Canis lupus familiaris: one gene and its partners. The protein of the gene in region 3 interacts with the protein of the main gene of each other region in a biochemical or structural test. Links are inferred from orthologs where the notes say so. Each region holds a gene or a part of one and is shown on either strand. Other genes may lie near its edges.

Evidence for each region.
Region 1: the proteins of DAXX (region 3) and RASSF1 form a complex in vitro, tested with the Homo sapiens proteins (4 studies listed by BioGRID and IntAct, with this or other methods). The link is inferred for Canis lupus familiaris from reciprocal best matches to the Homo sapiens genes DAXX and RASSF1.
Region 2: the proteins of DAXX (region 3) and PML form a complex in vitro, tested with the Homo sapiens proteins (2 studies listed by BioGRID, with this or other methods). The link is inferred for Canis lupus familiaris from reciprocal best matches to the Homo sapiens genes DAXX and PML.

What each region holds. Positions count from the first base shown.
Region 1 is NC_049241.1:39,421,189-39,424,932, reverse strand, and holds the start of RASSF1 (ras association domain-containing protein 1), read right to left. Parts: upstream 2,671-3,744; 5' UTR 2,656-2,670; coding exon 2,406-2,655; intron 547-2,405; coding exon 440-546; intron 59-439; exon of another isoform or gene 1-58. Other genes in the region: ZMYND10 (zinc finger MYND domain-containing protein 10), read right to left, coding at 3,283-3,358, 3,447-3,572, 3,693-3,744. UniProt on the Homo sapiens protein: Potential tumor suppressor. Required for death receptor-dependent apoptosis. Mediates activation of STK3/MST2 and STK4/MST1 during Fas-induced apoptosis by preventing their dephosphorylation.
Region 2 is NC_049251.1:37,672,392-37,676,135, reverse strand, and holds the start of PML (protein PML), read right to left. Parts: upstream 2,675-3,744; 5' UTR 2,555-2,674; coding exon 2,420-2,554; intron 174-2,419; coding exon 1-173.
Region 3 is NC_049233.1:2,912,728-2,916,471, forward strand, and holds the start of DAXX (death domain-associated protein 6), read right to left. Parts: upstream 2,806-3,744; 5' UTR 2,667-2,805; intron 2,523-2,666; exon of another isoform or gene 2,377-2,522; intron 2,371-2,376; exon of another isoform or gene 2,291-2,370; intron 1,499-2,290; 5' UTR 1,447-1,498; coding exon 1,240-1,446; intron 1,086-1,239; coding exon 257-1,085; intron 132-256; coding exon 1-131. UniProt on the Homo sapiens protein: Transcription corepressor known to repress transcriptional potential of several sumoylated transcription factors. Down-regulates basal and activated transcription.

The DNA of each region.
Region 1 (3,744 bases), on a different chromosome or scaffold from region 3:
CAACCGTTAACGCCGAGACGTAGACAGCCACGATCTGGCTCCCTTCTCATTGGGGGGGGGACTTCGAGGGGCGGGTTCACACACGCCCCGCCTCCAGGAGTGACCTCATAGCCCAGGCAGCCCAGCTCGGCTCCGCCTCGCAGACCACACCTCTTTTGGGGAACAAGTCGGCGCGTCTGCGCATGTACACCAGCGTGGCTGCACGACCGGATGCGGATGCGGGAAGGTGCGGAAATTGCGCGGGCGTGGAGCCTCGGCTATTCCGGGCAATCCGCGCGGAGTCAGCATCCCTGGTACCCCTTCCAGCCGCTCTCGGCCGCGGGAAAACCCGCTGTTCGAACGCGCATTGCGCGTAACCGGGCGGCCCTAAGCAACTCCTGCCGTGTGGCCGGCTGGTCTGCGCACCTTTTCCGTACGCCACCCCTTGCCCCGCGCTCACCACGTTCGTGTCCCGCTCCAGCGCAGGTTCCCAGCCCAGGTCCCGGGGCCCGCAGCAGTCCAGGCAGACAAGCGCGCGGCAACGGTAGTGGCATGTGAACTTGCAATCTGCAGAGAGGCCTGGCCGTGAGGCGGAGCCCCGGCTCCAGTTCAGAGAAGCATCCCGGGGACGGCAGAGAAACCCCGGGACGAAGGCGGTTGCCCGCCAGGCTTTGCATGACCCGCCTTGTCTTACGGCCCGGGTACCCTGCCGCTGCTATGCAGATTCTAGTGTTGGTCTCCCGACGTCTGGAAACTGGCGGGAAGGCCTCAGGCGGTTAGGGATCCAGGCCGGTTGAATAGCTGGATCTCTAGCACGGAGATCCCCCTTCCGCACTGTCAAGCGCCCCCCCCCCCCCGCCCCCAGCATTTACTTGAAGGGCAAACCCCCCAAATCTTTAACCCTTTAACCCCTTTAGCTGTCATCTGTCTACATCCCTCACACCAAAACATATCATTTATCTGCATACACAGTGTAATTCCTCATCTTCACTCTCTCCTTTACCCATTCCAGTCAGGCTTGATCCTCCCTCCAGGATAATGGTTAGGGTCCTTAGCAACCTGTGCACGTTCCAATGCCAGATCCCTTCTGCATCCTCACCATGCCCCCCAGCATCGTTTGATGCTTGCTCCCCTTGGCTTCCAGGGCCCCCCATTGCCCCGGTTTTCCTCCCATGCCCTGCAGCTCCTGCTCAGCTTCTTTGGTTCTGCCTCAACTCCCAGATCTAATGGGCAAGAGTGTTTGAGACTCAATCCTGATCACTGCCATTGCCCTGCTCTGTGTACAACCCCAGATCCAAGTCTTCCATCCCTAACCTCCCTCCTCAGATCAAAGCCTGTGTCAACCCAATGTGACCAAAACCAACTTTTCTTTCACCTCCCCTCTCCTCTCCCCAGAGCTTCTCATCTTAGCAAAAATCACTACTGTCCCTGTTTGAGGCAAAAATCCCAAATCACCCTTGATCCCTCTCTTCTCTTTGCTTCTGACACATTGTCCTGTATTTCATCCCTATGTCACTTTATTTCTCCATGGGATCACTGCAATGTCTCAGCCCTTGCTCATGCTTGGTTTTCTGTCACAGCTCTGGTGTTCAGGACAGACTCTTGTACTGGATGAGAGGGTCTCTACACCTACATAGGCCTAGGATACCTTCTCTAAATCCCTAAATGGGCCAGAGGAGTGATTCTCAATTGCTCTCAATTCCAGGCTGCCTACTGAAATGATTTTTTTTTTTTTTTTTTTTGTAAATTGCTGATACATTCCTAGTGATGGATTCAACAGGTCTGAAGTCCAGGCATAGGGGTTTGGAGGGCTGTAAAATCCCAACCAATTCTAGCTGGTGTATAGCCAGGGGGACAGCAGCCTCTGCTTGCTGGCAGAAAGACTGCTGGTGTGTGATGTTTTGTGTTTTAGCACCTGGTTGGCTGGGCCTGCAATAGGTATTTGCTCAATTAAATTCTTGCTTGTAGAAGACCCACCCAAGGTACTTTTTCCCTGCTTGCCTCCATAGGTGGGTAAATTCCCCCTCCTCCCAGAGATTCTGGGGGGGTGGGGCAGTGAGTGAATCTTTGGGAAAGAGCAGGCTTGGGAACATGGACTTAGAGATTGGTCGAAATACAGACTTCTCAAGAAGAGCCAAGGCACTTAAAAGATAAAAAGCTTGAAATCAGCACCTTGTTCATAGTTATTCACAGGCATCCGCCTCTGCATAAATGTGCGCCCAATGCAGGTGGTATAGAACAAGGCTATAAACCATCTGTCTGCCTGCACTTTCTTACACGATGGAGCAAAGGCAGTGGACCTGGCCCACTGCCAGTTAGGAACCGACCCTGCCGACCGACCCCCTCCTTTGCGACTTGACACGCAGCGACGGCACTGCCCCTTGGCCGCGCATTTCGCTCTCCCAGCGCGCGGGGCTGCTACTCACGCGCGCACTGCAGGCCCTTGCGCACGACGCCCCAGATGAAGTCGCCGCAGAGGTCGCACCACGTGTGCGTGGCGGGCCCCGCAGGTTGGAAGTGGTGGCCGCGGCCCGCGACCAGCTGCCGTGCCGGATTGCGCGCGGTCCCCGGTGCGATGCGCAGCGCGTTCGCTCGCTCCAGCCGGCTGCGGCCCGGACCTCCGCGCCGCGCGGGCTCCAGTTCCCTCAGTTCAATGAGCTCGGGTTCGGTGGACATGGCCGGGTCGGGCCCGGACTCCCGCCGGCTTTGGGCGCGAGCGAGCGCGGGGCGGGCGGGGCCGCGGGGCGGGCCGCGAGGCGGCGCCGCCCCCGGGATCTAGGCTGGGCGGCGAGAGAACCAGGGCGAGCGGCGCAGTGCAAACCCGGGTGCCCGGGCTGTGTCGGCCCGCAGGCGGAGTAGGGGCGGGGGGCGATCTCGCAGAGTCCCGGCGCTCCCTTTCCTTTTCTTCCTGCATCCGGGTGCACCCCACCCCCGCCCCCCGTCCCAAGACGACGACCACCAAGAAGGGCCACTCGGAGACAGGCTGTTTCTAGAGACTAGCTTTACTGTGCTAGAGGCACAGGGTCCCCACATCCGGCCCTTGTCTTGCCTCGCCCAGGCCTCCCGCTCCAGCTGCTGAGGCAGCACCCTCAGCCTACCCGCAGGGTAGGGCAGGAAGCGAGCAGCCTTTACTGGGGAAGATGGGTCAGCAGCTTGCTGGGCTCGCTGTGCTCACTACCTCGCGGCGCTCGCTCTGCTCACCACCTGGGAGGCTGGAGCCCTGGCTGAGGTTTCGAGAGGTTCAAGGGCACACTGGGGGTGGGTTGTAGGGCATGGGTGCTTGGCCCTCAGCAGCTGCAGCTTTCACTTGGCTCTGTTACCTTGGGCTGCCAGGACACAAGCCTTTCCATGCTTCTTCCAATGCTTGACTTGGCACTCCCTGCAGGCAGGTGGGCTGGTAAGCATGCAGTGCTTGTGCGGGGTATAGAAGTGGGGCTTAGGGGTCCAAGTTCCTAGGATACCCTCACCTGCAGCAATACCATTCATTCTGGCACCGTGAGCACCGTTTGGAGGCATCTGCACTGCAGTAGGCACAGCGGGGCCGCTCTGGGGTTACTGCCTCTAGGACGTCCAGGCTGTAGGTCTCAGCCCATCTAAGAAAGAGGTCAGGAAAGGCTGGCTGTGCCTGGCCAGTGGGGGCACAAGAGCACCTCTGCCTGTGTCCATGCCTTCTGCATCCCTCCTATCCCTTCTGCCCACTCAGTGGGCCTCACCTTCGTGCCTGTAGTCGCAGGTCCTGCTCTGAAGGGCTGAATATGTGCCTCA
Region 2 (3,744 bases), on a different chromosome or scaffold from region 3:
GCCGGCGAGCCAGCGCCTAGAGGCCCGGGCACCTGGCAGATGGAGCAGCGCAGGCCCGATGCCTCCAGGCATCCCGAGCAGAGCGTGTGCAGACACGGCAGCAGCTTGGGGCACTTGGCTTCGGCCTGGCAGCTCTGGCAGCACAGAAACTGGAACTCCTCCTCCAGGGCTTGCTGGGGGACCAGAGAGGTGGGGTGAGGCCTGAAATCCCGGAGCCCCCCCCCAGATCCTCTGCAGGGAGCACGGCACTACGAGGCCCGGACACCCAAGGATGGGAGCATAAATCCCTACCTTCAAGGGACTCGCTCTAGAAAGGAGATACGTGAAGCGTATCTCATGTAAATCATAAACAGTGCTTAATATGGTTTGGTGGAGGGGCACCTGGGGGCTCAGGGCGTGATCCTGGGGTCCTGGGATCGAGTCCCGCATTGGGCTCCCTGCATGGAGCCTGCTTCTCCCTCTGCCTATGTCTCTGCCTCTCTCTCTGTGTGTGTCTCTCATGAATAAATAAATAAAATCTTAAAAATATATATGGTTTGGTGGCTCCTGAAGAAGTTAAACACAGGAGTACTATATAACCCAGCAATTTCATTCCTAGATAGATTTCCCAAAATAACTGAAGACAAGTAGCTGAACAGATACTTTACACCCATGTCCACAGCACCATCATGCACAGGCTCCAAAAGGTAGAAATAACCCAAGTGTCCATCAACAAATGAACAGATAAACAAAACCGGTCTACGCGTGCAATGGAGTATCATTCAGTTTTTAAAAATGAAGGAAGAGGGACGTCTGGGTGGCTCAGCAGTTGAGCATCTGCCTTTGGCCCAGGGCGTGATCCTGGGGTCCCTGGATCGAGTCCCATATCGGGCTCCCTGCAAGGAGCCTGCTTCTCCCTCTGCCTGCGTCTCTGCCTCTCTCAAATAAATAAAATCTTTAAAAAAATCTTTAAAAAAATATATAAATAAAATAAAATCTTTAAAAAAGAAAATGAAGGAAGGGGCGCCTGGCTGGCTCAGTTGGTGGAGAATGTGACTCTTGATCTTGGGTTTGTGAGTTCAAGCCCCACACTGGGTGTAGAGGTTACTTAAAAATAAGATCTTTACCAAAAATAACATAAAATAAAATGAAAAGGAAGTAAATTCTCATACATGCTATGAGAACCTTGAAAACATTAGGCTAAGCAAAATAAGACAAACACGAAGGGACAAATAATTGGATGGCTCACTTATATGAAATATCTAGCATCGGCAGATCCACAGCAGCAGAAAAGTAGAGTGGAGGTTACCAGGAGCTGGGAGAAGCGGGTAAATAAGGAGCTACTGCTTAGGGAGTACAGTTTCTGTGGAGGGTGATGAAAAAAATTCTGGAAATAGATGGTGGTTGACGGTTACCCAACATTGTGAATATATTCAATGCCACTGAAATGTACACTTAAAAACCGTTAAGTTTTTGGGGCACCTGGCTGGCTCAGTGAGCGCAGCACGAGGCTCTGGATCCTGCGGTTGTTAAGTTCAAGCCCCATGCTGGGCGTAGAGATTACTTAGAAGAAATAAAAATGTTAAAAACATGGTAATTTTAATATTATGGATATTTTCTAGAAAAAAAAAGGGGGAAAAAGTGCTTAATAAAGTACTGGCCCACGAGGAATGTTCACAAGGAAGTAGTACGATTCCTAGTTGTAATAATGCACAGAATAGAAGTTACTGCAGGATGGTGCTTTCATGAAGGGCCTGGGAAAACACACTGCATGAGATGTGAAGTAGCTCCTCTGGGGCAGGAGGGCAGCTGGGGAGCTTGTCCCGAGCAGACCCAGGCAAGCTTCCGGGAAGAGGCCCCAGGAAACCCGGAGCAGACCCAGGCAAGCTTCCGGAAGAGGCCCCAGTACACCCTTTGTGGACCCAGGGTGGGGGTGCGGGGGTGGAGGGCACACAGGGTGTTCCAACAGAAGGATCTTGGAGGTAGGTATCCTAGCGGAGAAGCCACCCCAAGAGCTGTGAGGCCTTAGCCAAGACACTTCTCTCGTCTGGGCCAGGTTCCCACTTCCTGATCTGGGAACTCGGCTTTTGGTTTTCCACACTTGGGACATGCCCCTGGCTCTCGGCCTGCTCCCCAGGGCTACCCCGCCATCCCCCGAATCCCTGGACCTTCATCTGAGGCTCAGGGGGGCAAGTCGCCAGGGTGGGCAGATGAGTCCAGGCCCTCAGCACCTTGCCCCCTGTCCGTGGGGCATGCCAGCCCCGAGGCCCCCCCAGCTCACCCTGGTACCCTTTCCCACTCTCAGCTGCCCCGAGGGTCGGGGCCCAGTGTCTGGCTTTCTCTCTGGGTCACTCTGGGGAGGTGCCTGGCCTCGCTGTCCCCTCCCTTTCCCGAAGCCATCAACCAAGCCTCCACCCCACCTCCCCAAGCCCAGTGGTACCTCCGCGGGGCTGCGGCTGGGGCTGGGCTGGTGGCCCTCGGAGGCGGGCTCCGGGGGAGGCATGCTGGGCGCCCCGGACGGTGCGGGGTCCTGCCCGGGCGCCGGAGAGCGGGGGGGCGCGGGCTCCTGCTGCATGGATCCCAGCACAGTTTCGCTTCTGGGTTTTGAGCCTGAGGGGGGAGGAGAAGCGAAACCGAGAGGCAGGGACCGGATCGCGGTCGCCGGAGCCCGTGGGAGGGACGGCCCCACTCAGGGCCCGCCTCCCCGGAGGAAGTGAGACAGAGCCGGGGGGCGGTTCTAGGGCCGGGGAGGGGGGGTCTGGAGACACGCCCCGAGCCGGAGGGAGGAGGGGAGGAGAGAAGATGCTCAGCCGACCTGGGGGTAACCCGGCCGCGGCCTGGCCTAGCGGGAGGGAGGCCGGGCCGCCCTTGGCTTGACCCCGGGCACAGACAGGAGCCACAGGTGGGCCTGCTTTGGAAGAACCCAGGTCTAAGCGAGAGCAGTCACCCAAACAGGTTTGCACGCTGCAGAGGGGCAGGCCGGAAAGGAGATCTCAGCTGGGACGTGCAGGAACTTGGGGATGGGGAACGCTTGCAACAGCACGAGCAAAGGCATGGAGGTTTGAAACAGGAGAGTCTGTTTAGAAACCAGTTTCCAGGGATGCCCGGGTGGCTCAGCGGTTTAGCGCCTGCCTTCAGCCCGGGGTGTGATCCTGGAGACCCCAGATCGAGTCCCACATCGGGCTCCCTGCATGGAACCTGCTTCTCCCTCTGCCTGTGTTGTGTCTCTGCCCCTCTCTCTGTGTGTGTGTGATGTCTCATGAATAAATAAATAAAATCTTAAAAAGAAACCGGTTTTCATTATTTTCAAATTTAAGAGGGGACCCATGAGCAGGATCAGGGCTAAGGAGATGCACTTGTTCTGTGGGCAACAGCGTGAGATTAGAACCCAGAAACATGACCCAACACGCATGTTGGGACAGTCACTCTGGCAACCTGGGATGGGTGACCTGGTCTAGGACAATGGCTGTGGGATGCAGAGGAGGGATCTGAGTCTGAGACACCAGGAGGACAGTGAGTGGAGCTGAGGGGAACAGGATGATGCCTTGGTTGAGAGTTGGAAAGGTTGGTGAGTCTGAGGCAGCGCAGGCAGGGAGTGGAAGGGGAGAGCCGACGAGCAGGTATGAAGACAGCGAGGAGAGAGCAAGTTAGTTCTTGGCTAAAGGGGAAGCATGCCAGCTCCCAGCTGGTGAGGGTAGGAAGCACAACCTCGGGCAGCTTCACTGGATGAAGGGCCCTGGCTTCAAACACCAAACCACCCCAACC
Region 3 (3,744 bases):
CTCACCCTCCTCACTCTTGTCTTGCATCATTGCATATTTGGAGATGACCTCATCCAGCCGGCTCATAGCCAAGCTCCGGTTTTCTCGCAGGCGCCGGGCTAGGGCAGGATCTGACAGTGCAGGGTCAATGCCTACATGAGAAGATATAAAGTCAGAGTACTCAGCCCAAACCCTAGAAGAAGGGACTAGAGAGATGCTCCCTCCACCAAACATCTGACATACAAGGGTTACCAGTAGGCATCTCACTAATCCCTACCTGGCCTGTAGTCATCTGTGAGGTGACAGCCAAAGTTGTAGATGAGATCAAGGTGACGTCGCTCCTGTAACCTGATGCCCACGTCTCGGAAGGCATCCTGAGCCATGAGCTGGAGCTGCTGTCGGGGAAGACCAAGGCTGTGCCGAGCAGCTGCCTTCTCCACAGCCCGCAGTACATCTCCATAGTCAGGGAAGGTATCTGGCCCTGGTTTGTTGATGAGCCGCTCAATGCGCCTGTTAACCTCTGGGTAGCGGGTGCCACGATAGGGAATGCGCTGCTCTATGACACGGCCCGTCAGGGAAGAGCAGTCTTTGAGCTCACAAAGCCGCCCAAAGAGGCGGATCAGCTTACGCTTCAACCTTGCCTCCTGCAGGTATGTGGAGTCTGGGTCGTCCAATTCTGAGAGATCCAACTCTTTTTCCTGCAGCCGCCGGATCTCTGCCACATAGAGCGCTAGCAGCTGCTCCAAGCGCTGGATCTGCCGCCGGGAACCACGGGTCCTTGGTGCCTCAGAGGCAGTGGTCTCGGCATTTGTGGGGTCCGAGGAGGGGTCTGTGGGAGGGTTATTCCCAGAGGGTTCACTAGAGGTGGCAGCAGGGGCCAGGTTCAGCTTCTTCTTGGCTGAATGGGCCTTGAGAACAGTGCAGAGCTCATTAATGTAGACATAGAGCTTAGCTGGCCGGCTCTGGGCCCGGGATAGGACCCGAGAGAGGATGTTGCAGAACTCCGCCGAAGCCAAAAACAGAGAGTGGGCACGCTGCTGCCGGTTATAGAGGAATGGGACCACCTCAGGGTGGTCTGCTGTCTGCATCTTACAGAGTTCAAGGAACTGGAGGTTTCAGGAGAAGAAGGGAGGGGGGAAGAGACAAGGGGAGGGGTTGAGAGAAAGAAGGCAAGGCGGGATTAGTGGGGAAGAAAGGACTACAGAGCCAGTCAGCCATCCCCCTCCCTGGGGCACAAGAATCTTCTCCCCTAAAGCTCACCTCTTCAAACAGCTTCTCATTCTCCAACTTGTAGCATTTCTTGCCGCCAGAACTACTGCTTCCTCCAGCCCCATGGGGCTGGGAGGAGCCAGGGGCTTCTGCCTGGGGTGAGGCCGGATTGGGGGGTGGGTGGGAGGGCCCTGGCTGAGCAGCTGCTTCATCTTCGTCATCATCATCCAGCACGATGATGCTGTTAGCGGTGGCCATGGGGGATCAAATCCCCCGGAGGAAGGAAGTGTTGGGGATTTCGGAATTCCTGCTGGAAGGGGATGGGGCCTCAGAAAGAGCCCCTCCAGCATAGCCCCTCCCTTCATCTCACACATTTTCCAATCTTCTTGGGTTTCAGTAACACCCAGCCCTGCTCAACAGTGTCCTCACTGCCTAACTTCAGCAACCACTAGTACCAGACACTTTTCTGACCTTTCACTACCTGAAACCACCTGAAAACCTTAAGTCCCCACCCCCAGCTCTACCCCTTCTGTCGAGATCCAGTTTCCCCACTATCTCTCATACTTGCCAAGTTGACTTTTCCAATCTCTCGACCACCTCCTGCACGTGTGCACTCTGGATTTCCTCGACATTCCCTCGCACAGATACCACATCCCCGTCAGCACCACCTCACCAGCCTTCCCCCTTTCGCTCTCAAACACGTCAAATCCACACCCTCATCCCATCCTGAAGGATCACCCCCAACTCCTAGACTCTCAGAGGCGAAGGAGGTTCTCTCCCAACAATCCACTCCCGTTTCCCCTCCTGGGATTATTCTCACATTCCACCCTCTGACGGGTCTCCTCAAACCGGGACGTTAGGTTGGAGAGATCTCACCTCAAGTCCCCTCCCTCTCACCCCACCCGAATTCCCCCATTCTCTCTCTGTGACCTGTAACCGATTGTGAGCCCAGTACTGAGCTCTCCGGATTCCTCTCAGATCCCAACCCCGCATCCGACCCCTTCCCCCGAATGAGCTTCCCGCCAAGTCCCCCTCCCCCAGTTCAGCCCCCGGCCGCCCCATTCCCCTTCAGGGATTGGAAGGAAGGTACCACAGCTTGCACCTCAGACTCAGCGCCTGGGACTCCCCAGTACCTCTCCCTCGACATTCCCGCCCCTGCCTTCGCTCCCCGCACGGTCCGGCCCCCACCTCAGAAACGGTCTCTCGAGGCGACCCTCGCTGCTGATCTCAGAACCTCGCAGGGTTCCCTCCGCCTTCCTTCCCCCACCCACCGCAGGCCCTTCTCTGGACCGGAAGTCGCGGAGTTTCCGCCTACGGACACCTAGACGCGGCCATATTTTCGTACGGCGCCCGGCCCCCCTGAGGCAGGAAGTGGCGGTAGGCCCGCCCCCCCGCCCAGTGCCGCCCACAGAGTATGCCGCTCTCTTTCCTATGACCAGTAGAGGGCGGGCTTGTCCCCGCAGGACGTCCCAAAGTACCTGGGGGCCGCCATCTTGCCGTACGGTACTGGCTACGCCCGAACTCGGGGGCGCCACCGACGGAGCTCTTTTCGCCCGGTGCTTCTGCGACTCCACCAATCAGAAACTTCCTGCATCCAGCCCAACCGCCGGCGGGTCGCGTGCTGGAAGGACTGAGCCACCTTTCCAAGTAGGGGAGGGGAGGACGGAACAGGACAGCTAAGGAATTGGGCCCTCCAAGACTGTGCAGGGGTGCATAGGAGAGCGAGAATCTCCTAAGAGGGAAAAAAACCCTCTTCCTTCCGCTGGGCCATTGACCAGCCTTCCGGCGCCGCTTTCCTACCTGCCAGGTACCCTTTCCGCGGCTTCATCTACTGCGCCTGCCCTTTCCTTTCTGCAGGCTGCGCGCTCCCCAGCCGCTGTCCAGCAGCTACTTCTACTTCCCCGTGCCCACACCTCCCAATAGTGAAATCATAACACATGCATACAAACGAGCACAATTCGCTACACAAATTTGTTATTATTATTATTACTATTGTTATTGACTTCGTTTTAAGCGCCTCCAAGGAACTAATGACCCACCCAGCAGGTGAGACCTAGGTGGTTCTCCGTTCCTTTCTGGTGGGGTGCCCGAGGTGCATGCAGTGATGACCTGGAGGCCGTGCCTTGTCCAGGAGCTCCAGGGCCATAGGACCGCGATGTGGGGCGGGGGCTTTGAGGAGAATCTGTGCAAATTGCCGCTGTTGGATGAAATGAGACTTGTAAAATACCTTGAGTCTCCACTGGTCTCTTCCTCTTCCTCTGGGAGAGCTGAGAAAAGAACGGGGAGACAAGAAACTGACTGACGCCCCCTCGCCCACACCCGCACCTCACCCAACTTTAAAGAGGCCGGAAGGACTCGTGGAGGCCACGTTGGGTCCAAATACGAGCTTATGGGGAAGTCACACCGGTTAACACGGAGATTCTCCTCCCCTGCGTCACATTCCACAAGTGGTGAGTATCTTGCCACTTTCTAGGACCACAGAGTACCAGAACCTCAAACCCTCACTGCCATTAAAGAATCCCACACCATATGTAAGCCTACAGTCTTCAAATTAGG